Linked DNA regions of Schizosaccharomyces pombe. The gene in region 3 interacts genetically with the main gene of each other region. Each region holds a gene or a part of one and is shown on either strand. Other genes may lie near its edges.

What was found.
Region 1: of ubr11 (region 3) and mal2, a mutation in one rescues a mutant of the other (synthetic rescue), as found in Schizosaccharomyces pombe (one study listed by BioGRID).
Region 2: of ubr11 (region 3) and tup11, extra expression of one rescues a mutant of the other (dosage rescue), as found in Schizosaccharomyces pombe (one study listed by BioGRID).
Region 4: of ubr11 (region 3) and ptr2, extra expression of one rescues a mutant of the other (dosage rescue), as found in Schizosaccharomyces pombe (one study listed by BioGRID).

Annotation. Positions count from the first base shown.
Region 1 is NC_003424.3:4,182,156-4,188,509, reverse strand, and holds mal2 (kinetochore protein mal2), read right to left. Parts: upstream 3,229-6,354; 5' UTR 2,988-3,228; coding exon 2,076-2,987; 3' UTR 1,999-2,075; coding exon of another isoform or gene 1,285-1,998; 3' UTR 1,094-1,284; downstream 1-1,093. Other genes in the region: pop100 (Rnase P/MRP subunit), read right to left, coding at 1-963; wybutosine biosynthesis protein Tyw3, read left to right, coding at 1,285-1,998. UniProt on the Schizosaccharomyces pombe protein: Component of the kinetochore, a multiprotein complex that assembles on centromeric DNA and attaches chromosomes to spindle microtubules, mediating chromosome segregation and sister chromatid segregation during meiosis and mitosis.
Region 2 is NC_003424.3:298,168-305,101, forward strand, and holds tup11 (transcriptional corepressor Tup11), read right to left. Parts: upstream 3,630-6,934; 5' UTR 3,545-3,629; coding exon 3,421-3,544; intron 3,354-3,420; coding exon 3,269-3,353; intron 3,245-3,268; exon of another isoform or gene 3,097-3,244; coding exon 1,461-3,096; 3' UTR 1,111-1,460; downstream 1-1,110. Other genes in the region: SPOM_SPAC18B11.11 (GTPase-activating protein), read right to left, coding at 1-619; SPOM_SPAC18B11.09C (serine O-acetyltransferase activity), read left to right, coding at 4,994-5,064, 5,167-5,473, 5,549-5,626, 5,685-5,852; protein pat10, read left to right, coding at 6,296-6,368, 6,507-6,564, 6,604-6,693, 6,752-6,788, 6,833-6,862.
Region 3 is NC_003424.3:3,698,658-3,708,704, reverse strand, and holds the start of ubr11 (ubiquitin-protein ligase E3 Ubr11), read right to left. Parts: upstream 6,214-10,047; 5' UTR 5,911-6,213; coding exon 1-5,910. Other genes in the region: mde6 (muskelin), read right to left, coding at 8,868-9,123, 9,167-9,346, 9,395-10,047.
Region 4 is NC_003423.3:3,404,019-3,411,072, reverse strand, and holds ptr2 (PTR family peptide transporter), read left to right. Parts: upstream 1-2,713; 5' UTR 2,714-3,380; coding exon 3,381-5,237; 3' UTR 5,238-5,498; downstream 5,499-7,054. Other genes in the region: bbl1 (phosphatidate cytidylyltransferase), read right to left, coding at 5,923-6,764, 6,810-6,949. UniProt on the Schizosaccharomyces pombe protein: Uptake of small peptides.

The DNA.
Region 1 (6,354 bases), 480 kb from region 3:
AGATAAGTAATTCCATGCTTGTAGAAATGCAGATGGATGTAAACGTATAACTAACTGCACACATTCGGTAGGATTTTTTACAGGGATCTGTTTTTTGTCATCTTCTGTAGGGTTATTCCATTGTAGAAAACAAGGGCATATGAGCTCGTGTATGTCAGACTTCACGAGGTAAGATGTAAATGATCTAGAAGAATTCAGAAATACAGGAGGCAGTCCGTTTGCAAAAGAATTTCCAAACTTTTCTTTGAGAGCTTCGTATGGCCCGCTAATGCAAAACAATGGTTCATAAGACATGTCGAATGCAATTGCATCTTTCCGAAAAGCTGCTCGATGGGTAGGACGATAGGATTTCTCAGTCGGTTTTTCGGGAATGGCATATCCCCAAGCATTTATCATGTGTGCGCGTTTGCATACCCATAAATGAGTGGGAAGCCATACCTTCCGAAGTTGACGACCAGCAAATTTTCCACGTATTAACTTGACGGCAGCCAAGGACGGAATTCGCGAATCATCTGTAGAATTGTCTGTAACCAAGCTTCCCGTACTGTCAATTGCTTTGGTTTCACCTGATTTAGCTAACTTTCTTCGCAAGCGTTTGATGAATCTCTTTAACCGTTGTCTGGAAGGTGCAATGGGCAAAGTAGATGAGGAACTGAGTTGCATTTCATATAAAGCTCTATCCCTTAAACCTTTAGGTATCCTTTTTATATTATGAGAAGCTGCTCTTCTTCGTAAACATCGAGGAAGAGCTTGGAAAGCACGCTGAGCGCTGGATTCTTTTGATCTTTTCATAGCATCTTGTAAAGCCGTTATTTCAAAACTCCTTGATTCAATGAATTTTTTTAAGTCTACAGCACCATTTGAAAGGGCAGGTGATTCAACCTCTATGAATCTAGCATCAGCGAGCTTTGACCTTTTGACGTTTAGTCCCTTTGGTTGCGTTCCTCCAGTTGAACGCTTCATTTCATAAAATTAGATAAAGTGGGGGACGGTTTTTGTAGCAGCCTTAATTAGGAAGTTAATATTATACAGTGGAACTTGTTTGTTGCATGGATTGATAAATTACTCAAGCGCGTACGAAAATACCATAAAAATGATTTTTTCTATTTGATTTCTTTTATTTATTAGGTTTGAGCAAACGAATCTGCAAATATTGTTTTGAATTTAGAAAAAAAAATGTAGGTGCTTGATTTGGCAAGTTGACAACGCAAGTTGAAAAGTTGTAAGAATCCACCAACGAGTTGAATTAAGTCGTTGCAAGGAGTTCCTTGAAGAACAATTTGAATGAATATAAAAGGAATAGATGTATCATTTGATGCTCAAAAAAAAGAAATCTTAGAAGGCTTGAAATCCTCCGTACCTGATGCATCACCCAAAGGACACCCAGATAGCCCAATATTTCCATTGCTAGATGTTATAAACTCCCACCCGGATTGGGTAACAACTAGTTCATGTTCAGGAAGAATTTCAGTCTATGTACAAGGAGCAAATTCCAGAAAAGGAGGTGGATACTGGCTTTTCGTTAGTCATCAGGCACATGAAGAACTACCACCGGTTTTAGAAGATGAAAAAGTGGAATACGGAAAGGTTCCCAGTTCTCCGGTAGAAGGAAATCGGGAAATACAATACGCTTTTGAACCCATGATTCTGCATGTTCAAACGAGAAGTTTAGCGAATGCTCAGCATTTGCAAAGAGTAGCAGCAAGCTGCGGTTTTCGGGAAACAGGAATTCAAGGTAGTGAGCAGAAGTTTATTGTGGCTATTAGAACAAGTTTACGAATGGATATTCCTATAGGATGTCTTACAGCATCCGAAAAGCTTCAGTTTTACATTACTCGTGAATACATGTGCTTCCTTTTCAAGAGAAGCGTTGAGTATTTTACTGAAAATGGAAATCGAATGGCTAGACTGAAAGAGCAACTGGAGAGACAGGTAGAGAAAAGGATGAAACCAAGGCGGAAATTAAGGAATATGGACGATTATTTGGTGCAATCGTAAATAACTAACAAGTATAAAGTTTTTTGTATAAAAAGATAGTCCCTGTCTAATAATAATAAGAGTATGGTAATAAACAATCATAACGAAGCATGACTTTCTGGAGCAGTTAGGTGTGATACAAGTATATTAACCCAACGTTTGTTGTCTAATAAAGATAGTTCAAGTCTGTGATCTCTTTTCCAGTTTTCATCAGAATACTGATATATCCTTGATTTGACCACTCTAGTGGATTCTGAAGAGCAAACAAGGGTAGCTTGAATGACTTTCGGAATTTGAATGACAAGATGTGTACAAGAAAGATTGGCAGATATGTTTGTCCCATCAATTGTCAAAGACTTATTGATTTGTAAAAGTGCGTTTTTACGACAGATATATGCGGTCAATAATTTATCTACTTTCCACAAAAATATTCTAAACCTTTCAGGGTTCTTTCCAGTCAAATACTCGTCAGCCCATTCTTGTATGTTCAGAAAGCTTGGAATCGTATATTTATATAAAGCAAACGAGTCGTGAAATACTCGAAAAATTATATAATAGGGAACATCAAATCTATTTCCACCTTCTAGTTCTTCGTCCATGCCAGAGGCGGAAGATATTGGATTCTCTGAGAGATTCGTAAAGCCTATATTTACTGGATTCAACATGATATCGAACCGGACACCAAGAAGCGGTATAGAAGGAGCAGTCTCAATGGCTCCTGTCTTTTTATTTTTTACGAGAAGGGTCTTTCTAGATAACTCCTCAGGATCATTGGGTTGGAAAAAGGAAATACCAGAAAGTCGATCATAATGCAGTGCAGGTTGATTTAACGGAGTCTCTTTCAGAAATTCATTGTTTACAGATAAATTTTTGGACAACTCGGGCTTCTGAACGAGATCGGACAGTGTCGCATTATCTAAAGACTTTAATTCATCAAGCAATACATCCCTTCTGGCTTCAAGGACGGAAATTTCATCGATGAGTGTCGCATTGCCTTCTTCATCGTCCATGGCAGCAAAAAAAATTCATGGAACTAAAAAAACTGTAGTTTCAACAGTTTCTTAGGGCCTTATTGATAACATGAACCAAGCATAGAAATTCAGTTACGCTTAGACTCGTCCACGTATGTCAAAGCGTCGAAATACACAGCAGCTTTTATAATTTAATCACTGTAGCATTTCAGAGTTTCGAACTGGAATAGTATTTTAGACGAGATTTGTAATTAGATCAAAATTAGAGATTGGTAGGTTTGAAGATGTAATGGATAGGAAAAAATGAAGATTGCAAATCTATTTGCAACGAAACGAAAAATTATGCAATATTTTTAACTGTTTGATAATATGTAAATTAAATATTTTCTTAATGAGTTACAATAACAAAGAAATGTATAGAAAGCAAAGTCGGACAAGTTGTATATAACTATATAAAATTGAAGATAATTAAATCGCCAGTTTAAAAAAAAAAATTAAAATTAAAATCTAGGAAAGAAAACAGAATGGTTATTTACAAGAACAAAGAAATTTAACTTATAAAATATATAGAATTAAATTGACATAATCCAGGAAATGAGAATTATTTTGAAGAAAAAATAATGACATTTAACAAAATGACATTAAAAAAAAAGAAAAATAAATTAGTAAAGAAAAAAAATGAAGGTAGTTTTCCTTCTTATATAAATGATTTTAAAATCATTACATTTTATAACTCACCAATTAGTGCATCCCTATTAACAATTCTTTTATTAAAGCTCTTCACGTACAATCCCTTAAAACATTCATATTGCATTAAGAAAGCAACAAAATTGTATATTTAATATTAGATTATGAGCGCGCAAGTGCTATACATTGTAGCAGTTTTAAGGATCGTTGAATGTACATGGGGTTTTGATTTGACAAAAGCCAAGTTTGTGTTAAATGAATGCAAAGGGAGAATGTATTATTCAATGTTAAATAATATAATGTGAACTTTTAAGTGGTATTTGTTTACAATGAGCTAGAACAAACATGATAAATTACATTCTTTAATTACAGTATATATAGTTTAAATTAATGAAGCAAATGTCTACGGCCATACCTAGGCGAAAACACCAGTTCCCGTCCGATCACTGCAGTTAAGCGTCTGAGGGCCTCGTTAGTACTATGGTTGGAGACAACATGGGAATCCGGGGTGCTGTAGGCTTTTTGCTTTTTTGTAGAAAACTAAATTTTTTTTAGTTCATTTATTTTCTTTTACATTCTTTTTTATAAAATCAGTTTGGCATCTATAAAACAGGCAATTGTTATATAGTATATTTCATAGTGTCGAGTTGATTTTTGCTGTCATGTCTTTGATACAATTGAGAAAATGAAAATTTAATAGAAAAGTCTTTGTAATACAAAGAAAATCAATTCATCCAGACTGTAAAACTGGGTTCAAGCGACATTGGGCTTACAGTTTGTAAAACACTAAAAATCGGCGATATTCAATAAAAAATCTACAATTTCCAAAATAGCGGTGAGTTAAAGTGATTACTAAAAAGAAAATAAAACCCAATGAAATAAATTTGAATGAAGTAAGGTAGATTTTTTTTTTATTATTATTTATTTTATTTATTTATTTTTCTCTTCTATAGTAGGGATTGCTTAGATGAGCTTTAGTTCTGGGCATACAAGGCATACGAGTGTAAACACAAATTACCACTGCTGACTGAAAAACGGAAAAGTCCATAAACAACGATCAAAAGTCAAACAGAAACAAAAATTATTGATGTTCGTCTTTCGACTCTCATCACTGCTATTTTTCCTACTATTCGACTTTCGGTTTATAAACACTGTATATACTCGTTTACTACCAACCCTATTATTCCTCTGCTACAATATTGCTACTCATATACCATGATCTAACGCGTGTCACTATGCACCTTTATCGTATTTTAGCGCATTGAATTAGCGCTTGTTTTTTTGGGTCACACTTATCAATGCATCGGGGAGTCCCCCACTCCCCCCACTTACGATAGGCCAGGGTTTCACTATCATAGTCCATGCCACGTTCCAATCACCTTACAGTGAAACCGCCCGATCACAAGCTTAGTATTAGGCAATATTCAGCGATTCATTAAATGGGTTTAAAGAGAAGTAACGAGGCTGTATTAGGATGAAAATTCCGCCATATTTATGCCATTCATCTTTCCCATTCGAAGTATCATATTCAAAGGCGAATTCCTTCTCTCCTAACTAGATTTTTTCTGTAAATTTACGACTGAAAGCTCTTCCCTTTACAGTCCTCCTTCATTGTATCCTCCTTACCCTTGCCAATCCTTACAGCGAGTTCGGCTGCACTAGGCCCCCCTACTGCACCTTATCATATATGCACCATCACCACCGTGTGATGATTGGATATCTCGCACCTTCAATTCGCTCTATGCAGATAAGGACCGAGGGTGATGAAAAAGCAACGATATAGAGACGAGATAAGGACAGGTTGACCAGATAACGATTTTATATAAAGAAGGGTTTTGCCTACAAGCCTCTGTTTACAGAACTCACTTAAGCAGTTTGAAAACTTGCTAAAGTATTATTTTTAATTTTTTATTTTATTTTATGAAACTGGTTGCAGTCTGCATCGTCTGAATATAACGATCCATTAATATTTCTTTGGACGAGTTATTGCTGACTTTTCATACCAATTATATTTAAAACAGGAAAAGAAAGCACTTGAAGTCTTTTACAATCTTGAGACTTGCTATTATAATTTTTCATATTTACTTTTCTTGTTGTTTTACATAAACAGGATAAAAAAAGTTGTCAAATTTATTGTTATAATAATTTTATAAACTTTACTTTGGTTTTGTAAGCACTTTAGATTTTAATACATCTTTAATAGTGCGTGCCTTTTTCCATCCTAATTTCTATCTATTCATTATCACATCTATTTGTTTGTGTTTTTTTTTCTGATTGCGAAAAGGTCAATTTGATTTTTTTTCATTCTTAGTAATTTGTGAGTGAACAAGTTTTTCCCCTATTGGACAATCATTGTTATATCGAAATTTTTTTTTTTCGTTAAAGGAACAGATTATTAATATTTTCCGTTTCTTCTTCTTTTTAATTATATTGTTGAGGTTTCTTAATTGAAAGCTCAGAATTTATTGCCTCGTGATTGGAATTGTTTGGTTCTTTCCTTGCAAATAAAAAAATTTTTTTTCTTATCTCTTCAATCCGCTGGGTTTATCTAATACGGTATATTTACCCCGTCGCTAAAATCAAGACCGAAATTTTATCTGACTACGTAGTCTATTTGTTAAATTTGCTGGTCAGTTTGTCTTTTACTGGTTATCTTTTCTACGTCAATACTGCAGAGTCAGTTAAATATCCATCATACAACTCACCTTTTTTGAGTGGA
Region 2 (6,934 bases), 3.4 Mb from region 3:
ATGCAATGTCTTCTTCATCGGTGGTGCTTTTTGAGACCCACACACAATTCGCTAGCATAGAAGAAACCTCCATTTCATCAAATAAATTAAAGCCCACCCTGAACATATTCGTAAGCAAGAGAATTATCTGACGAAAACAACGGGTGTAATTTCTCAATTCAGCACTTCCTTTGAAGGATTTTCTCGACTGAGCTCGCATATCATCAATAATCGTAAATAAATCAGTCAACCATTCAGACAAAACTTTAAGTATGTCATTTGAAAAAGACTCAGTTCTTTCGCCTTGGGATGTAATAACAATCAAGGCGTCTACAGTAGCAGGATAGTATTCAGAATTCGGAACCTTTGACAGCTCGTTGAATAATAGTGCACGGTCATCGGAAGACATTTCTTTATGCTTTTCAGCTGCATGAGTCCATAAGGAAATAGTGGCTGCCAGTATGTTTCCGTGAACTTTATTTTCAATAATGTCTTTAGTGGAATCAACAAGTTTTTGTAGGATTACATTTTTACAAAACTGCTCATTGTTGATGAGCCTTTTTATGCGTTTGTAGCGTTTATCCAATGACTGTTGATTCGATATTTGGGTGAGAATCGTGTCTATATCCAAAGCCTTCATAGCTTAGATATAAATCGATGCAGCAAACAACGACAATTTTTCTTTAACCCAAACGTAATATAGGTCCTGGGTTGGCACCGATTTAAGTATTAAGATTTTAAATATATTTAAAAAGTGCTAAATTAAAGATTTAATGAAGTAAACCCAAATTATAGACTGCTTAAGCCGTGGAGGATTATTATAAACTCCTGAAAAGATAGCCTTAAGAAACGTGCAGATATCGAACTGTAACGGATTGTAAAAGCACACCTCAATATAGCATCGATTAGGATTTATTCAATTTCTATGTTTTAGTCAATAAAATCGAAACAATGAGTCTTCTTCGCGTTGAAGAAGTCAGAAGATGGTTAATACATACATAATTTTAGCGAGTATATGATAAATCTGTTGGTGAATTTCGGAGTCAAGGTGGAGATATGCAAATTACTAAATACAAGAATAACCATTTAAAAAATGTTTAATCAACCACATGTATTTCAAGAATCTACATTGAAAAGTATTAAGTATTATCTCAAGTTATGCAACATTTATCATAGAACTAAAATTAAAAATTAAGGAATTTTTTATTAATTGTTTATTTTTTAAATAAAAAGTGTCTCAGTTAATTTATGAGAGAAGCCATTCTCCAAAATTAGTGACATTAAAAAACTGAGTGATGATTTGTCTATTGTGACCGTAAGTAAAGGAAATAATATTGCAAAAAAAATATGATACAAATTAAGGAAATATACCAGTGTAGTAATAGAGTTTACAAAATTTAGTTTGTAAACTTTGTAACCAAAAATCAATGCGGTTAACTATTTCCGAGAGCAAATAGTTATATGTAAACAGGAACAAAAATTCAAGGAGATGCAGGGTCAATTGACCATATGCGAGCACGTAAATCACCACTTCCCGAAGCAAATTGCCTACCATCTGGGCTAAAGCATACGGAAATAACTGAATTCTTGTGTCCTTGACAAGTGAGATAAGATTGGCCTGTTTGCAAATCCCAGAATTGCATACTTCTATCCTTCGATCCGCTTAATCCCCAACGGCTGTCGGGTGAAACAGCTACTGAAAGAACAAAATCAGTATGTCCTGTATAGGTGGCTTTGCAAATACCTTCAGGCTTAATAGCTGAAAGGCCAACTGAACGAGTTGCTTGTAATTCCCAGACTTTGATAGTCTTATCAAGACTTCCACTAAGAAGAATGCTGCTGTCGGGCGAAAAGGCAATAGAATAAACACTCTCCTTATGACCTTCCAATCGTTCAACCAAAGTACCCGACACAGACCATACTCGAATTATCTGATCTAGACTACCAACTGCAATGAATTGATCATTTGGAGAGATGGCTATTGCCGTCACACCATTCTCAATTTCTAACTTTAAAATACATTGACCTGTCTCCACATCCCAGAGTCGTGCAGTTCGATCGCCACTACCAGAGACGATGAATCGCCCATTATGGCTAAAATCTAAGGAATAGATATCTTGTTCATGACCTGAAAATACGTAACGAACTTTTTGAGTTGAGAGATCCCAGAGTTTTATTTGACGATCTTCTGTTCCCGTGACTAAATACTTACCATCAGGGCTGAAAGCAATGGTTCTCACATACAAATCACGGGAAGGATCAGGTGATTCTTCATGCAAAGTAAAAAGTTTTTTGCCAGTCTGAACATCAAAGACATTAGCGGCCTGGTTACAGCCAGTTGCTAAATACTTGCCATTGTTACTAAACTTAACGCAGCAAACAACACTGGGATGCTCTAGTGTGTGCACGAGATTAATATTAAAAACCCTTTTGCATGCTGGGTTATAAGTGACGTACCAACTCTGAGAAGTTGTCTTTCTAGCAGCTTCTGTATCTGAAACTGGAGCAATCTGTTCTCTTCCCTGATATTCTCCATCAGGACCCGCTTGGGATATAGAACCAGCATTCGCAGAAGCAGTCATAGAAGGTTCAGCCGAAGGAGTTGCTTTGGTAGGAATACGCGGTGGCTGGACATTCACAGCAGGTTTTGAAGTAGCACTTGGATTATAATAATTGGAAACACCAGGCAATTGAGGATTTGGTTGTTGAGAAACCTGATTTGCTCCGTAATTAACAGGAGGGATATATAAAGGTGTAGTACTAGGTAAATTGGATGTAGATATCGCGGGATTTTGAGAAGCAATTCCCTGATTAAAATTTTGCCCGCTAGAAGCCTCTACTGAAGGAGGAATTGGAGGCATCAATACTTCAGCAACATTATTTTGAGGATAAGCTGATTGGTGAATTGGAGGGATTTGCTGAAAGGCAGGTAGATGGTTACTTGGAGGCTGAGAAGTAGATTTGGTTTGAGAGGGATGTTCCTGATCAATATGGGTAACTTGATTATTAGAAGCGGCAAGTTCAGATCTTTCTCCACGATTTCTATAACTTGCGGTATTCGCTTCGACACCTAATTCTTCAAGCTCTCGCTTCAACTTGTTGATATCTTTTTCGTACCTATAAATGTTAGTAAATTGGTGAAGACAGATGTTATAAAGGTTTTTTTTTTTTTACTTCAAGCATATAAATCTCGAGCGACACGTATGCTATTATAAAATAATGATGAATTTCACAGAAAAGAAGTAGATACTATATAATCCCTCGATACCTTTAACATATAAAAACTTACGTTTCTCTAATAGATTTTTGTTTTTCATACATATCATCCACGGTTTTTCGGAACGCTTCAATTTCTTGAATTTGAGATTGTATCACTGCAATAGAACAGAATGTTAGTTTCCAAAAAATAGCTAATTTAATTTATTTTATTCAAACACGTACTAGAAGATTCATAGTCGTTTCCGCGCGCCTTGGACGCGAAGCTATGATGAGCCAAAGCATTGTATTCAGCCTTCAACGCATCCAGCATTTCTTGAACTTTCGTGGCATCCTCCACTGACGCCATTTTTTTTTTCAGTCAGACTTATTGCAAAAACTGAATCCGATTGATATACGCCCTTTTACAACAATAGCAACACTTGAATTGTGGTACAAGAATAAACTTGTGTTCTTGAACGTTTGTAGCAGCACTTTTATCGAGCGGCTCCTTGTGCTGCGCTAATCTTTAAATAGAGAATGTGGTGCTACATATTTTTGGTTGAGCAAGTATCACAAAATTAGTATGGCGTGTGTGTTGGCAACTTGTCCCAATTATTTTGAAATTCATTTGAATTATAGAGAAAAGCAATTCGAAACCCTTTACTGTTTGATTTTTTGTAGCGTTTATATTATTTTTTTGAATATAGATTTTCTTGCTTTTCAGTTGATGTTTGTTATAAAAAAATAGTTATAACTTTGAAACGTAGTGTAATTCATTTTTTTTTTATTGATGGAAAAATTTGTTAACCGTTTTTATATATCAATATAAAAAAATTAAAATTTGTGTTTAATCAATTTATTATCTGATCCTTGTTTAATTAGATTGTTTACCGACCTTTGTAAGACATTATTACAGTGAGTTTTATCTTGATAAGTATTAATTAAAAGTTATGATAGTATTTAACCCGTAAATTCACATTTCATTTGCTAATGACTCAGTTAATCATAAGTGACATTATTTGTTTAATGATGCGAAATTTGACGCACTTTACTGATATTAAAACATTGTTGGTTGTCTTAAAGATGCTTTTTTCATATAATCTAGTTATCATGAAGAAGGATGAAAAAATCCCATAGTTGAAATTTATTAACACTAAAGCAAAATGTTTAAGCGCAGCAAACCGAAGCCGTCAGAAATTGAGCATTTAATCTGACACGATATGCCATTTACACTTCAAGGGCGATTAATAAATACACTTTGGATTTATTTTTAAATCATATTTATTGCTTATTTACTTATCAATTTTTGTTTGATGTACTATTTAAGTTGTTTTGAATTTTTTTTTTATATGACATTAGTTTGGGATTACTACCCAGTTTAATCAGTTTAATGATACAGGAGGAAAGCAAGATTAAAAAAGGGACGGACAACGTTCATTGCATATCTTGTTATTGCTTGTCAGTTTACGGCCCTCAGCGTTTGTTAAGCTACACTAACTATTTACTTGTAACTTGATAAATTTTGGTATGCTGGTGGTAATACGAGTAGGGGCCAGACATAAAGCAATGCGACAATTAATGATATGTTGCATAGTGGGGCATAATGTAGTGTAACAGCTGACGCTATATATCATCGAGATGTTTTTACTTACGTTTTACAAACTATTTCACTAAAAAGTTTCCGTATAGTTTTATCAGCAATTTGTTAATATTGATATCAATACATATATATATATATATATAAGTCTATTTATACATCGATAACTCTACTAGTCCCATTGTCAATGCTAGTGAATATACTTGTTTTCCGACAGAAATGACTCGTACTCGTGTACAAAAAATGATACCGAAAACCATTGAATACCAAAAAATGATATCTGGTCAACCGTAAGGCTAATGCTTAAAACTTGTCGAGCTAATATATCATCTTCGTTGACATGTTTGAAGTCACATTGAACGCAGGGAGATATTCTAATTACTAAATAACAGGTACAAGGCTTACGACGAGGAGTTGACTCAAGCGAGATGTAATGCTAAAAAATTAATGCGAAGGTTTAATGACACTATGGGAGATTTGGAAAATGTAGGCCCAGCAGAATTGATTAAAAGACGAGCTGAACTGTTGGCTGAAGTTTTTGTATTTGACGAATCTTCAGCACCAGAGATTGAGCCACCTATGGCTTTTGATTACGGATTTAACGTTCATTTTGGAAAAAAATTCTTTGCAAATTATAATTGTACATTTCTAGATGTTGCCATAATTACTATTGGTAATAATGTAATGCTAGGCCCCAATGTATGTTTATATATATATATAGTTACTTTCAAGTCATTCATTCAAAAAATAAATATACTAATGGTGTCTTTCCAGGTTCAACTATGTACAGCAACACATCCCTTGGATTTTAAAGCAAGGAACTCCGGAATTGAATTTGGTTTACCAATTAACGTATGCGTTAGTCCAGTTATTGAAACATCTTACAACTAACAAACAAAATTTTATCAAGATTCAGGACAATGTTTGGATTGGTATGGGAGTTATAGTTCTCCCAGGTGTTACTATCGGGGAAGGCAGTGTAATTGGAGCGGGTGCTGTTGTTACAAAAGACATCCCACCTAATACGTTGGCTGTAGGATCACCTGCCAAACCTATTCGTAAAATTGAAAACGAGTGAACGAGTGTAATTTTTTTTTTTATTATTTCATCTAACGATTAAATGCTCTTTGAACTTCTTAAGTTCACCTGGCTTGGTTCCTAAATTTTTAAAATAGTATAAATAATATTATATTATGTTTGAGCTTTAAATTGTTATATAGAAGACTTAGAATGCTAAAAGAAATCCATTTCTCACTCGCCAAGTAGGATCAGTTTCCTCCTATGACTTGCTAAAGCCCCCACGTGGTACTGCAATCGATTTTAATTCTAATGCTTAGCCAAGTCTAAAATAGTTGAAATTCTTAGTGGGATAAGAACTCTTAACCCCCACGATATATTTGAATGCTAAATAACCTAACCTAAAACCATTTTACACATTTTATTACTAACTTCATTATATTCTTGTAGAGGAACCATCCCATTCACCAGTTCTGAAGTCTCGACAACGAAAATTCATAAAATATGGCGCCTGCAGAACTTAAACGACCTGATTTAATCGTTCCCTACAAAGCTAGAGTCAAAGCAAATGAAGAAGGTAAAGTAGAAAGCACTTTCAAATTGAACCCAATCGTGAGTTACGCTGATTTAATCGCTCAAGCTTTAGTTCATTGTGGAATATTTTAAATCCTTTCTTTCGTCAAATAATTTATTAAGTTTGCTAACCCTATTATAGTTGGCTTGAGTTTGGTAAGCACAGCCACGTGTATGGCTGCTTTATTTCTTCGTTTCAAGTATGTAAGATATTTTAGGATTTTCATGTTAACGAGAAGATTAATTGCATGGGTTGCTTTTATCCTAACCTTTTCAAATTTACTGAACGCAAATACGTCTCCCAGCTCATCTCCGACTTCAATGGCTTTGTAAGTAATCCTAATTCATTGCATTAATGTAGTTCTATGGATGTTAACATTTGATCAGTATGGGTATCGCGGCTCTTGTGTCAACATATTTACCGGTAAGTTGAATTTTTATATTTACTTTGTCGATTAACTTGTGCAGCAATTTTTAAATACTCCAAACAAAACTTAGTAATTTTTAAGTCAGTGAATTAATAAGAGTATTAAGCTGATTTTTTTCTGGATAATTAAATTTATGCACAAT
Region 3 (10,047 bases):
GATGCCGACACTACCGGTGCACGTAGCGGCATGCTTGTTGCATTCCCCAGTTAGTCTCCTACTGGAAACCGTATTCTGTCGAGCATTAAAACAGATGACACTGCCACATAACATACAAATTGCAGGAAGGATTGGAGTTTTATGGCACATACAGCAAACTGATTCTTGCATCGAATCAATTAAATTTTCTAGCCTGTGAGGTAATTTGACAAGCTCATATATGCCAGGATATTCCAAAGATATAGTACTATCACCCCATGTATTTTGAGCTAAGTGTTCACACCAGCCAGCGATTAATTCCAAAATCTGATTATTTTCATCAGAAGACATTTGAGAATACAGTTCTTGTAAAGGAGGAACTTTTATTAATTTGGAAAGCCTTTCTAATTCACTGTCATCTTCATTGTTGGAGAATTCATTGAACTCGAGTGAAATGTCAAACATGCAATATAATACCAAAGCAACTCGTCGGAGAAACGGTAAAGAATACTTCTCCACCAAAGACATTAAACGAAGTAAATTAGACTCATCATCCAAAATTTCAATGTTATTTGAAGAACCACACCAAAGCAGTACATTCTTGCATAGAATATAAAATTGGGACTTGGATTGCTGACTATAATTAATGGTTAAATCAGGAACGACCGATGAATCTGCAACCACTTTTATCATAGAAATTATTGTCTTGCAAATTTCTGAAAGATAGAAAAGCTTAACGTAATACAAAATATTATCTTGTTTACCAAAGATTAGCATTAAAGATGAAATTTTCACAAAGTCATCGAAAGTATTTGAAAGCAAAAACGGTTGAATTTGATCATGGTCAGACATCCGGCCATTTCTCAACATGGACTTTAATTGCGAGTGACGATAGAAAATTTTACAAACTAACAGTTTTTGGCTCTCCATTAACAAGAGGGCTTGTTGGTCAGATTTTATGATCTGATCACAAACACACTTCAAAACGGTATCAGATAAAGTCGGCAAAAACGATAATGTTAGGGGTCCCAGTTCATTGAACCACACCGATCGAGTTGCTCCACTTTGTTTCGGAGAGCACCTCTGACTAACTTCTAGAGAAGAAACGGTATAGGCCAAACTGTTCAGTAAATCATGAGGTGAAACATTCGTAAATGTACTTCCTTTAACCAATTTCATAGCCAATTTTGTTGTTTCACAATATCGATCATAAAGGTCGGATACGTCCCGATTATTACTTTGATCAATTAATGCACCATCGGCTATCTTTAAGCGAGCAAGCATTGCCGAGATAATTTTGCTGTTTATCCAAGGTCTCAGGAAACAGCTTCTAAAAGTATCTTTCGTGTCGGACAGAGAACTTCGAACTAATTGATATTCAAAGCTCGAGGAAGACATAGTACCGATTTCCTCTAACCAACCATTCATGCTACGAGGGAAATTAAGGGTGTCAATGTTGAGACACATTTTGGGGATCTGAGGCATAGGCAATAACACATTCGACAATGACCTACAGAGAGGACACATAAAAAATTTAGCAGTAGAATACTTGTAATAGTATTCACTTAACCCAGCGGTAACATCATTTCTATACATGGACCTAGCAACGTAATAGTTTTTAAAACAACCTAAATGCATGAGATGACCACAACCGGAGACAAAAACACCTCTTATGTTATTTCCTGGGGGATAAGCACTTAATAAACGATCTTTTGAACGGTTGAAAACAACTGTATCATATTTTTTTCCAAATGGCCTCGAATGAGATTCCCTATCTAAATTAGGGGGAACACTATAAATTTCATCCAAAATGATTTCGCTGTGAACATCTGTTTTTCGAAGTAATGAGCTTCCTTGAATAATGCCGATCACTCCATATGGTGCTTGATCGTTGCATTCCTCTTGGCAAAGCAAACAATTACCACGGATATGTTCATGGTACTTAACTTCCTCCTCTGGCTCTTCTGTTGTAACTTCATCTTCCGTTTGATCTTCTCCGATATCGAAATCGGTATTTTGGGCAAGAAAAGATGCTTGCTGATCGCGAAACTGCTGCATAATTTTCTTCTGTTTCTCTAAAGCTAATCTTTTCTTTTCCTGCGTTTTCTCAATCTCGTTAGAATCCGAAGTAGAAGAGGTAGTTGAGAGTTCAAAGTGTGTAGCTTCCAGCATGTTGCTATATGCAGATGGATCATTCTTTTGTAAGCCAGCCAATACAGCATTAACTTTTACATGAACATCTTTGTATTTAGGAGACTTGAGAATTGCAAAACAAAGTTCCGCTAAGCAGTACGCACTGCCACCAAATTCTCTCATAATACTACTATCAGTCGGATAACGCTCAGCGCATGAACGGGAGCAGAAGTCATTTGATTTCGAGAATTCATGAATTTTCATAGAGATTAGACACAACTGAAGTGCATCGCCCAGAATAGTATTTCCAATATCGGATGATCCAAAGGACTCCGCTTGAACAAGTGCATACTCAATCGCACGAAAAATGATAAGACTAAAAGTGCTCGCATTGACGGCTGCAAAAAATATATCATGGCCGTCCTTCTCAAGAAATCTAATTTTTGGTTCTATTATAATCGACTCAGCACTTACATTATTTTTCTTCGCCAAACGTTTTTTAAGGATAGTATCTGACTCCTCTCGTTCATTTTTATTATAATGAAAATAATATGGATCCACCAAATCATAATATTCGTCCTTCAAACTGTAAACGCCAAAATCGTGGAGACCGTCAGGTGCTTTGTAGGAAGTTACTTCTTCTCGAATTTTATCAAATGACAAACTCTCTACTAAATTACTTGAAATAGTAGACAGCAATGCAGAATAAGCAAGAGGACCAAAGCATAGCTGTTGAGCTAATCGAGTGCGAATAATATCTTGGATATCAACATGTAAAATTTGTTCGCGCTCTGTTATAAGGGCAATTAATAACTCTAACATTTTACACAACATAGCTGGTATTCTTTCCGTGTCGTAATTGGGATGTTCATTATAAGTCAAATTATAAAGCCAATCAGTAAATTCAAATCTTTGAACAACTGCATTTAAAACCAAGTTTGGATCAACAAACATTAATATTGTTTGAATAGCGAGGATGTCCTTATCATAAGAAACTTCGATGTTATTAAGTTGACGATAGAAAGCGTCAGTTAATAAAATACTACGCCCATTTCTTATCCAAAGGTTACAATCAATTTGAGCTAAAAGCACACAAACCCTCAAAGGATGGTCAAGAAGAGCAAGTAGTGTATCCTTATCCCAATGAGAAGAAGCGTCAACACGACAATATGAAAATAAATTGGAAAGCATCCAGTGAAGAGGATGATAAAAACTTATAGGATCCCTCGACACGGAAAACGGAACTAAGGGCTGTGTAAAATTTGTCAAAGATGAAGAGGGAATACAAGAGAGAGGTTCGAGAGACTCTGCAATGTCTAATTTAGGGTGGGTGATGGAAGTTATGATACATTTTATAGCATAAAACAACCGTTCATATGGTGCTTGTGTAAAACAAGATGAAACAGTGTTACTGAGCATAGCTACCCTTTGCATTACAAACAATATATTTTTCCCATGAGGAAAATCCCACTGTACGTGACTGAGTATTGCCCGTTGTTGTGGAATCACACCTTGGAACACCCGTAACAAATCAATATACTGATGAACATAACGCGTATCATCCACTACAAGCTTTTTGACTTGCGGATGTTGAAGTAAGTATCCGAGATCACTAAACAAATTGTAAGTCCTTCGGGTTTTTAAGACTTGTCGGTTTAGCTGAATTGTGGGAGTGTATTCAATGTCTGAAGAAAAAAGGGTTGACGGCCGGTTAGACTGCGTTAGTAAGCTTAAAGTTGTTGCGTTTAAATTAGTTAAAAAATCATAGTCTTTCACAACGGCTTCTGCAAGACTAGGAGTAGTGAAAAATTGAACGGAAAGAAACATGACAGAGTGGTCTGGCTCTCTATCTGCAAAAAGAAACGCTGTAGCGAGAGACCTATAATGGATTACGAAACGTATACCCATAAGACGCTTAAATAGAAGATTTCTATTAAAAGGAACAACATACAATTTTGAGAGCAGCCCTCTTAACCGTTTCCAAAATTTGAGATCAAACAGCAAAAAGTAATCTAAACGAAGAATGGAAGATGGAGATTCAACGAAGCTATATGACGAAGGAGGAATTGGATGAGGACTTTTCCAATAATCCTCACGAAGAGATACTTGACAAACCGCAGCAGGGCGGGGTCTACGACGAGCGTTTATGATTTGTCGAAGGTTATTAAGGAGTTGAGAGTTAAACTCCGGGCGAATAGTAACGACATCCTGAGTTGCAGTAGTGGGAATAGGTACAGGAGTATGCGTCTGAGGATTATAATCTACATTTTCAGTGTTTTGTGATTCATCAGTTTCGTTTTGACTTTCGGTTTCCATTGAAATATCTTGAACATCGTCTTGACGAGTGTTTCGGTTTACACCAGGATAATCAGCCTCAGCAGCTTCATTTTCTTCTGTCTCCATAACTTCATCAGTTAAATCATCAATATCCTCTCGTTCTGTTTCAAAATCCAGAAGGTCATTTACGTCGTTATCATCATCAAGTGGATGATCAAATCCTGCAATAGTAGGATCGGTCATATCCGCTTCAAAATCTTCATCACCACCCAAATTAGCAATTCTAGTTACACCTGTTTCATCTTGAAGGTTTGCGATAACATCGAGAAGTTCTTCTGCGGCATAAATATCATCCTCGCTATCATCGTCATTAACAATCTCCAGAGGAAGGTTATTAAAATTCACCTCAGGCTTAGCAGGTTTTTCAAGGCCAGGAGACCAGTTCTTCAAAATTTCATCGCAAACGATAATTTGTAAATAATCAGCAAAATAGCAAACATGTGATTCTAGAAGATCATCGAACCATTCTAATAGAATACCACAAATATCTTCGCGAAAAAAATCGCGGGCAGTACGAACATTAACAGCTAAGTTTTCTTTTGAAATAGCGTTCGCGATTCTTATTGCTTCGTGAACTGAAGCCGATGTAGCAACAGCAAAGCGGCCAATAGAATCAACACGTTGAGCGACTTCAAGTCCAAAAGCCGTATTTGACGAATCTAACGCCTCAAGCACACTACCTACAACAGCGTCAAAGGTATGCACTTCGTCGTTCCAAAGCATTACACGGAAAACGTTGCAAGGCCTATCAGCTACACCATACTTTGCGCTGCTAAGACGAGAGGCCTCCTCATCTGCTAAGATGCTACCGACAGTAGATTGAGCTTTAAGATTCACGGGGGAACAAGAAAAGACATCGAGAATGAAGTCAAGAAGAATATGAATAGTTGTACGGATAGAGTGTTGAAGTTCTAGTGGGATCACTTCTTCTGGCTTTTTCTGCTCCTCGTCATCGGGGACATTATGTATCTTGCAGTTAAGGTCGACATTCCATGCCTCAGGATCGCCACAGTCGCAGATTCCACTATAAGAGGTTGAAATAGATACATGAGTCTCGTGACCCTCGTGGTTTGTGGCATGAAAGCAAGGAGCACAAAGAACACATGTGTTATCTAGCCCACAGTTCTTGCAACGATATATCACCTCGCCGGCACGAAATACGTGGCCACAAACCTTGGACCCAGAACGTTTATCTTGTAATTCTTGGGCGCATTCGGGTTCAGAGTGCTGAAGCCTCGAGAGACGAAAGTCAGAAGTAATGGCACCTGGCTTTTCTTTGAGAAAATATTTCCAATTGTCTTCGTTGTAATTCAGCAACGACAGGAAAACCTCTTGCAGCAAGTGCGTTTTTGATTCTTCATTTGAATCGTATGCATGCTTTTCCGCGCTTTCTAGAAGGTATTTTTGTAACCTAGAAGCCGATGGTTGCGAAAGAGGAGCCGGCGGGTCGTGCAATTGCATGAAATTATAGGAAAGGTTCTGTGAAGTAGATCTTGGGCCGCAAAGTTTTCTTCAATAATTAAATTGGTTTAAAAAAGCTATTTAATAAACAACAGGCACGCTAAAGCCACGGAATATACAAATTTTCATCAACAGAAAATTGGGGAAGTAATTGAAACAGCATTCAGTTGAATAAAGCAAACTCCAATCCTCCTTTACCTTCTTTAAACTTTTCTGTTGAAACAAATTTCTCTAAAAATATTTTTGGCAGCTATAAACCGTTCCTTCTTAATATTTCTGATTTGTATACCTAAATGGCGAGTTACTTCTTGCCATTGCCAAAAATCCATTTATACTACTTTCAGGTAACATCGTCACCTTTCTTGTATCAGTAGCCAATTGAAGATACCAAAAAATGACACCAGCTTGATAAATTCATCAGCTGTAGTCAACTCTTTAAAGCCATTTACTTTCAATTCAATTTCCTATTTCCTTCTTCTTAATATGTGTTAATATGTGTTGATTGCTTTTTTTCGTTTCGATCTAGTGGGCTTGATTTCATCCTTTGCCAGATAGGAATCACCATCATATGAGTTGGAAAGTAAGAGATATGCACCCTAGAGTAATCCAGCTCGAGATTCTTAAACTATTTATCCTTTTTAATCTAATTAAAATTTTTTCCTTTGGGTGATAATTTTCCATCGAGTTTGAATTACCCAAACTTCTCAATTATCTAACACCCCAAGATTTCAAAGTAAATATTGTTATCGCAGTGCATAGTAGATTTTAATGAGCGCTTGAATACTTCGGGCCCATGGAAATCATATCAAGGTTAAACAGTAGCATGCGCACACTATATTTTACTATACTATACTATAATACTTTAAGTAGGGCCAAAAGTTGATGGCTTGAAAAATGGGTTAAATGTTGAAAAAGGCTTTAAAATAATAGATAACCTTAAAGAAATAAATATTACTTCATGGGAATAGTTTATTTAAATTTCATTAGTTTTCCAGCAGTATTGTTAGCAAATAAAAGCAATTGCTCTTACATTGTTGCCGAGCACGGAGGCTAAATTCGACTCTTTCCAACTAATTAAGTTGGCACATGACGGGAATAGTTAGTGTGTTTAAAATAAATTTAGCAACAATTATTGCTGATCTTTCTTTAGGGAAAAAGGAAAAAAGTGTCACAAACCGGGATCGAACCGATGACCAACAGATCTTCAGTCTGTCATGCTCCCAACTACACCATTGCGACTGTTGTCGGCTTTCTTGAATTAGTAATATGTAATATGTTGTTTAGAAAGTGGTAAGTTAGTGTGCTTTTCTTATATTTACAATGTCAAGTGTTTCTTAAGCACATAAGTAGTATAATATTGAAACATAAAATAGCAAGTATAATACAGTTACTTTATTTTCTCTGGAACAAAGATGGCGATCGGGTAGTGAGATTTACAGAATAAGACAACATTATACCAGATACAAGCTGGAAAGAAATCACTTAATAAATTGTAAAGGCAAGACCAATATTGAAAGTATGATGAATGCCAGAAAATGAATGTCGTTCATATTAGCTTGACTGAATCATAGCAAAAATGGAATAGGTATTAATATCCGAGTTCTCCTCATTTTCTGCTTCCAATACCTAGTTTCTCATACAAAGTGGTTCAGGGTATTGACCACTATATGACTACGCTTTATAGTGCAACAATCAAAGCTTTTTTAATTGAATAGGTGCAGCTATCGCTTACTTTTATCTTGCTACACTTTGTCCAACTTTGAATATCTCTGCTAAACGTTTGTCATTAAGGTTAATCAAACGACTTTTATCATTCGAGTATGTTGTTACACTACCCTAGTTTCTTCTGCTAATAAATTATCAATCGTACGTTAGATGTAGCCAAGCGAGAAATCGCTACTTAGTGTTGCAAGCAAAGATGCATACAATGCAAATGCGCAAAGCCGCATCAGTAGTATAAATTGAATAAATAACAAACAGCATTTATACATGGATTTATCAGCCTTGGATATTGAATTTAATTATTTCCTCAAAAACCTAGGATAATGTAAAAATAAAGGGACCAGCCGGATTTGAACCAGCGACCTGGGGATCTGCAATCCCTCACTCTAACCACTGAGCTATGACCCCTTTCTGACATTTCAGTAATTCCTAATGTTATTTAACGGTTTTAACAACGAATAATAATATATAATTGAAGTTTGAGTACAATTTATTTATGAATATTTATTTTTGGAAGTACGAATCGTTTTTAGCAATTAAACTTGCAGTTGTATATATATATTTGTTTAATGATAAGAAGCTGTTCTTTTTTTTTGTAGTATTCAGTGTATTATGGAGATCGTATTCGCACGTGTCATAAAAAAAAATTTACTATTATAAACTTTTTTTTTTTTTTTTTTTTTTTTTAAAAAAATAAAATACGCATATACCTTCTATTTAAATAAAACTACGTAAAATAACTTAGTTTGAATATTTTTTTTTTCGAATTCGCGTGCCTATTTTAGTATTGGTATAGGTAAAATCGAAAAGAAAGTGTGGTATTAACAAACATGATGAATATTCATTCCTTTGTATGCAACATAAATAAATTGCGATTAAATTGGTTAAAGATGAATAAATTATTTATTGTTCTTGTGAATATTTAGTATCGTGTAGCATCAGGGAAAGGCGAAATTCGCATTATAATCATAATAATATTGGCGTCTAATACACTATTACTATAGAAGAATTGGTATTGCTATTTACTCGTATACTTTTGACTATTCACATGGTATATATTCTTTCATTTTATCTAAATTTATATGAGAGTTTATTATCCTAGAAATTCAGCTAACATTTGATTATCAAGAAACACAACCTAATTACAGGTAATGACAGAGAGCCTGATATTTTCGTAAACCAACATTTAGCGTAGTAAATTGGTTGACTGGAAGATTTATTCCCTTCAATCCGGTTCAAGTGAAAAATTCAATCATATTTAAGAGGGATTCATTCGGTGCAACAGTATTTTCATCAACCGGTAATAAATCATATATTGTCTGAAAAGTTTCAAATCTTCTTTGTGCAATATCTTTGTTTTTATGCGTTCCACTAAAAGCATCCAAAATCAGCGCATTCCAAAATAAAGGACTTTTGTCAAATTGCGGCTGCATAGATTTTTGAAGGTACTCAACTGCCTTAGCAAGATTTTCAGAGACTAGTTCATGAAAGCTAAATTATGATTAGTTGATTGATGTCGATACTTAGTACATACCGATGCAAGTGTAACTGGAGAGACACATTAGATAGACAATGCTTTATCCCCCAACGATCTAGAATATCTAGTTTCCAGAAATCTGAAAGCTTCATTGGTCTCAAAGGATGCGTACTTGCATTTCCACCCATTAAATATATAATGTTTCTATTCAAATCAGCCGCGACTGCGTGTCCAAACCTTTTAAAATTAAGCGTCAGATGATTTACCTTTTTCCCAAAGACATACCTGGAACAAGGATGTTCATTTCCTTCTTCTTCATTAATATCACTTATTTTAACCCATTCCTCTGTCGTTATGTAAAATATCCATAAACTTGGTCGAAGGACTTTGTGAATGTTTCGCTGTTCAAAACCAAACATAGTGAAAATGCGATGGTTTTTCGAATCCATAATACTCCTTTGACAAAATGAAGGACTTGGACTTTGGGATGTATCGTTTTTCCTAACATGCTGCACAGCTTCTCTTGTTTCTAACTTAATATAACACATGTCTAAGATGAATTCTTGATCATAGCTTTGACCACCGAAAATATAAAGTTTGTTCTCATCAGGAAAATATTCCATGCAATGACCCATCCTTTCAATCTTAAACTCACAGTGTTTTTGACGATCCTCATACCTGACAGCCAACTGTTCCCAAATTCGATTTTTCGTATCATATGCATAAAGTCCCTCGAATACCAGTTCATCTGGATCCCATTTACATCCACCACTCACATATACAATACCTCGCTTTTCGTCTACTGACATTCCATGGTCAAAAATAGCGGCAGGCCCACCATCTTTTGAAGTGTCATAGGATAAACATGTCCAAACTTTTTTGCTAATATCAAATTCCCAAAAATCTGTCCTTGCATCTGGGGGCACCTCGGTTTCCCT
Region 4 (7,054 bases), on a different chromosome or scaffold from region 3:
GCGGTCGTTGGAGTTTATCTATAGATTTAACGAATGTTCGATAAAAACAAGGGTCGGAATAAAAAATGACGAGAAGAGAAAATTAAGTGATATGACATTTTATCAACGGAAATAGGAAATACATATGGGTGATATGCAGGTACCCGAATATCAAAGAAGGAAACAGTAACCTATGTTTGAAAGAAGACAATTCGTAAATGAAACCCTTCCTTACTTATCATTAAACTAGCGATACTTGTTGGACTTCATAATGCGCGTCTCTATAGACGTTTGTTACTTTAAAAAATCTATTAGCAGAAGGATCAATTGATAAGACGAGAACGACTTGATGTTAAGTAGGCGCAAAGAAAACAAGCATTATGGACGGCTCAATGAAATAAATAATTAACATGCAAAAAATATAGAAAAATGCAATGTTCAGTTTATAGCACTTAGTAACAAGTGTTGCGAATTTTTTCCAACTAGTAGGTAAACATGCATTGTTAACTCTATGAAAACACTGGAAACATTGGTTCCGTGAAACTTTCGACGGAATCAAAGGGGGAAAAGGTTTTTAACGTGAAAAGTATAGTTCAAATTACATGACGAAGAGGTGTGGTAGATAAGTTTTAGAGAGCGAAAAAAAAAAAAAAAAACCAAAAAACCAAAAAGAGGTCAAATTTTTTTTTTCCTTTTCTCTCCTCTCTCCTTTTCAATTGATAAGGAATGGGCATAGAAACAAAAAGCAATTTGTTTAAAAGTTCATAAATTCAAAGGAGAAACATCTGCCAAAGTAGTATCAACTTGTGCACCGACGACGAGATAGAAAAGTCAAGTCAGAATCAGCAATGCTAGAAGCATAGATATCGATGTGACATTGCATACTCCTTCGTTATTGGGGATTTATTTACTAATGCTATCAAACTCAAGTTTCTTCAAAGTTATCATGAACTTACTATAAGAAATCTGATTCTGTGATAGAAGATATCGTTTGGAATTTAGGGTATACTATCTGTTGCTAATTTGCATACTTTTTGAAGTCTTGTGCCTCGCCTTACACAACCATCTCGTTTGCTTGACGGAGGGTAGGGTATCGCTGCATAACGAGTTGGACCATTTCTTACTAGGCTTTCCCGATACTTTCAGCAATCTTGCAGCATTATGGTTTCATTTGGCAAAATGAGGGAAAATGGGTGCGAAAAATTGCTCATACACCAACAAGTCCGTTTTGGAGTGTGATATGTTCATTTCCGTGACAGTTATACCCACTACTATTAATGCTATCACTATTCTTCCTTTCTTACTTTACTTTACCTTACCTACTTGTTGTCGTCCCTCATCATCTTTGCGACAATTCATGTGGGGGTAGGCGAACTAGTCGCTTTTACTATCTCTGCCACCCACGATGTTTACCGGGTTCGAGGTTCTTAAAGAGAAGACCTTGTTTCCTCGTGCACACACCGTGCTACAGCAGACCACTCACCATTCGCATACATAGTTTTACCTTGGTGAATCGCCAGCGCTAATCGCGGAATACCCGGGGAAGGAAACAAGAGAGAAGAGACACGCGAACGTGGTGTAAAGGCCGATGTCGAGAAGAAGGAATGAATTCAACGGTTAAATAAATAAATAAAAACAACAATGTAACACTCATCAAACGATTACATAAATTTAATAAATATGCAAAGTATTAAGAATCTAACAAATATGTAATTATTATTAATGAGCAAACTACAAGTAAGCAATGAATACAACTCAACCCTCAAACCTCTAAAATTATTGAAAAACTTCGTTCACCTGTATGTCGTCGTGAGAGAATAAGAAACGTAGAGGATGTGTTTGTAAATAACAATATGTATGACAATACATAGACAGTCATCTCTTTTCTACCTTTTCCCTCATCCTCATCCATACTCATATAGTAACACTTATACCTTTTACTCTCACTTTCACATATACTAACTATATTGTCTCACATTCTTTCTATACCTCTCCTCACTCTCATTCTCACTCCTGTAGTGAAACTTCTATTTTTGGCACTATAACGTGCTACTCGTTTTTTCCATATGCTCTGCACGTTGTGCTCTTGACCATTTAATTCCATGCACCCCACTTGGTACCCAATTTCATCCCCACTTTTTCGGTCAAGTACGACTTTCCACTTCAACCATGCGATGTGGTGGCACAAAAGTCCTAAATGGAGGTACACGAGTTTTTTCTATCGTTAAGCAAAAACACGCAACTGAACAAGTGCGCAATCCTTCCGCATGATAGTGGAGTAGATGAAAAAAACGGCATCACACGAAGAAATCCAAGCTTATCTATTTCCAGCGGATTTACCAATTTTCACCCCTTTTTCCAACAGGTCACACGTTGTGCGATATGGTTACTCCTCGTGCATTTTTAATCAAATAGATATTCCGCACTAACGTTTTTGTCCGAAATAACATTTGATTTATCCAATCAACCATCAAACCCACCTTTCACGCATTGACCTTAATTATTAAAAATGTGCAGTCTAGACCGGTCCTCCCTCTTTTTTGATTTATCTGTAGGGAAGATAATAAACTTTTTCATACCACGTTTCCTACATTTACGATTTGTCTATCGCCTATCGTGCTTTGCTCACCGTCATTGATAAAGGCGTGCATGAACACGTGGTGACTGCTAAATCAGTGTGGACAAATTTCATTTTCAGCAGTATTTATACTTGAAAATTATCCCCTCAAAAGACATCCTTCGTCGTGCCGTCTAGTCTGTGTTTTAGAAGTAAGAGAAATTCAAAAACCTTGAGTGGAAACTCCTCATCGTTCGTATAATTAATCGTTTGACCTCTTTTGTTTGGAGTTGTGACTTTCTCCACACTTTCACATACATACACTTTTAATTTCCAAGTATTTATTTAATACATTAAGGAAAAATTTTTTCATTCTAAAAATTTTTCTTTTTTTATTATTATTGTCATAAATACTTATTTGTTGTTGTGTATATTTAATCTTGTTTTAAATACCCTTTCTCACTCTCACTCACTTTCATATTTCTTACTCTTAGTTGAGTTAGTCGGCCTTCGATACACATATAAAAGTGTTTATTTTAACTTTTTTGTGAATTCACTTGTCAATTTTGTGTAATTAGTTTGACTAATTATTATTATTATTATTTTTGATCTATTCTTTTTTTTATCTTTTGTACTACAATTGTTTTTTAATCTTTCGCTTGTTTACGTTATTTTTCTCTTCCTCTTTTTTTTTTTTTAATATTCGCCTCTTTTGTTTTCTCGTTTCATTGTAATTATTTTATACCCAAAAATTGTTCTTGAAACTTCTGTTCATTCTCTTTTTTATTATTATTTTTGATTTTCATACGATCGATTTCCTACATTCAATTTACCTGTGTTTACAATGAGTAGCATTGAAGAACAAATTACGAAATCGGACTCCGATTTCATCATTTCAGAAGATCAATCCTACTTAAGCAAGGAGAAAAAGGCTGATGGTTCTGCCACCATCAACACCGCTGACGAACAATCCTCCACCGATGAACTCCAAAAATCCATGTCCACCGGCGTCCTCGTCAATGGTGACTTATACCCTTCTCCTACCGAAGAAGAATTAGCCACCCTTCCTCGTGTTTGCGGTACTATTCCTTGGAAAGCCTTTATTATCATTATTGTCGAGCTTTGCGAACGTTTCGCTTACTATGGTCTCACTGTTCCCTTTCAAAATTATATGCAATTCGGTCCTAAGGATGCTACTCCAGGTGCCCTTAATTTAGGCGAAAGCGGTGCTGACGGTCTTTCTAATTTCTTCACATTTTGGTGTTATGTCACCCCGGTTGGCGCTGCACTTATTGCTGATCAATTCCTTGGTAGGTACAATACCATTGTTTGCTCTGCTGTCATTTACTTTATTGGTATCTTGATTCTTACATGTACTGCTATTCCTTCTGTCATTGATGCCGGAAAAAGTATGGGTGGGTTTGTCGTCTCTTTGATCATCATTGGTCTTGGAACCGGTGGTATCAAATCCAATGTTTCCCCCTTGATGGCTGAACAGCTTCCAAAAATTCCTCCTTATGTAAAGACCAAGAAAAATGGTAGCAAGGTCATTGTTGACCCCGTCGTCACCACCTCTCGTGCCTATATGATTTTCTACTGGTCAATTAACGTCGGTTCTCTCTCCGTATTAGCCACCACTAGTTTGGAAAGTACTAAAGGTTTTGTTTACGCATACTTGCTTCCCTTGTGCGTCTTTGTTATCCCCTTAATTATTTTGGCTGTTAGTAAGCGCTTTTACAAGCACACTCCTCCCTCCGGTTCCATCTTTGTTCGTGTTGGTCAAGTGTTCTTCCTTGCTGCTCAAAACAAATTTAATCTCGAAAAAACTAAACCATCTTGCACTACTACTGTTGGACGCGTTACGCTCAAGGATCAGTGGGATGACTTGTTTATCGACGAATTGAAACGTGCCTTACGCGCCTGCAAAACTTTTCTCTTTTACCCTATCTATTGGGTATGCTATGGTCAAATGACCAACAACTTAATTTCTCAAGCTGGACAAATGCAAACGGGTAATGTCTCTAACGATCTTTTCCAAGCCTTCGATTCAATCGCCTTGATTATTTTCATTCCCATTTGTGACAATATCATCTATCCATTATTGCGTAAGTATAACATCCCTTTCAAACCCATCCTTCGTATTACTTTAGGGTTTATGTTTGCTACTGCTTCCATGATTTACGCTGCTGTTTTACAAGCAAAGATTTATCAAAGAGGCCCTTGCTATGCAAATTTTACTGATACATGTGTTTCCAATGACATCAGTGTTTGGATCCAAATCCCTGCTTACGTTTTGATTGCTTTCTCTGAAATTTTTGCCAGTATTACTGGTTTAGAATTTGCATTTACCAAGGCCCCTCCTTCAATGAAATCCATTATTACTGCTTTGTTCTTGTTCACCAATGCATTCGGTGCCATTCTATCTATTTGCATTTCTTCTACTGCTGTCAATCCTAAGCTTACTTGGATGTACACTGGTATTGCCGTCACTGCCTTTATTGCTGGTATTATGTTTTGGGTTTGCTTCCACCACTATGATGCTATGGAAGATGAACAAAATCAACTTGAGTTCAAGCGTAATGATGCGTTAACGAAGAAGGACGTTGAAAAGGAAGTTCATGATAGTTATAGCATGGCAGATGAGTCCCAATACAATTTGGAAAAAGCAACTGCTGAAGAGGAAATCATGAAAAGCACATAATACTTAATTTAACTTAATTCGTATTTGCGGGATGCCAATTTTTCTTTTCTTTTTTTTTTTACAAAATTTCCCAAAAAATTGGGGTTTGCATGTTTTGTTTCCATCTTTTTTTTTGTTATGATGCCGTTGTTCTACTGATGCTCCTTATTTAAATGCAGTAGTACTTATCCACTCTCAGAAAATAGAGTTTTACAGTGGGTCTATATACCAGAATTTACTACAGTGTGATTTAATGAAAATATATATTGCTGTGCATAATTTAAAATATTAAAGAAAGTATCAAATATGTTGAAAATAAGAAATTCTTTAGCGGTAAACAAAACTGTATGTGTTGAGACAAGAAACTGTTTTTTAGTAGAACCGACGTGAGATTAGTCCAATAATCAACTTTTCTAAGCGTTTGCGAATTAAGCTAGCTCACTTAACCAACCTGATGACAAAAGTTTTTGATGAAAACTAATTCGGAAAATGTCAAACAAAATTTTTAAGGTGAAAAACTGAAAATTATATAAAGCAAACGAACGACTAGATCTAGTTTGGAGTTGACTAAAAATTAGACATGGGATATCAAAACTTCCAAGCAATAACGAATGACTAACAAACGGAAGTCAAACTATACATGACAACGCATTTAATAATATAAAAGACTGGCTAGTAAACAAATACGAGGATAACAAAGTGTAAGCTATTTTGAGTTTTGAAGAAGTTTGGAACAAATAGCTTGAACACTAGTTTTGCCATGACTGATGAGATAGTTTTGTAAATCTTCAACAAGTTGCACTTGCTGAGTGGTCGTGAGGCTATAAACTGCTGTATCCAATAAATCAGCAACAGATGTACTCTTTTCTGCAATAAATGATTGGAAATACATATAAACGAAGACTCCATTTAAAAACTGGCAATCCATTCTGTCAGTTAAACCACCATGCCCCGGGATGGAAGCTCCAAAATCCTTAATTTTAAAAGCACGCTTAAGACCACTAGCAAAGAATCCTCCGAAAGGGGCAATTAAACTCGAAAAGGTAGCGAAGATAGCCAAATGGAAATATATAGGAGCAAGAGTAATTGTTTCAGGAAGTCTAAAGGTATCGACAAAAACAGCTGGAATAGTATAAGTGTGAGGAAGAAATACAGAATTTGGAGTGCAATTGAGACCACTGAAAGCAGAAGTAGATAAGTCACGAGTGGGACAGATAAAATATTTGAAGTGCATTAAAACATAGCTGATAAGAGAACCAATAACTACAGTACAAATCCATCCTCCTAAAAAACCTTCGACAGTCTTCTTGGGGGAAACTTGAATAAGCGGATGCTTGCCAAACATCTTACCACACAAATACGCGAAAACATCGTTGCATACAACGTAGCAAACAGGGACAAAGAACCAAAATAAACCTTCAAACAGATTGTTAATCATAAAATGGGACTGTCCAACTACTAAGAGTAAAGTCATATGAGTCCAACAGAACTGACTGAACTGAAACTTATAATTGCCTTTTTTCAGGGAAGCGACGAAAAGTACAAAACCTAGCAAAAATTAGTAAACAATTCAAAGACGTTTAATCCACTAACCTATGATGTACAACATAAAGGATATAAACCTATGGTGTAAAACCAATGGAAGCATAAAAGAATCCATAATAAAAAGATGGTGAAAGTAAGCATAGATACTTTCACCATAAGCGTAATACAAGGTTGTCATTAGAAAATACCTAAAAAAAGTTAAAAAACTGCCTTAAAAAACAAAAAGGTAATAAATTTGACGCTAAAAAGAGAAAAACGATTTTGGCTTTTCATTTTCTATTATTTTTTTTTAA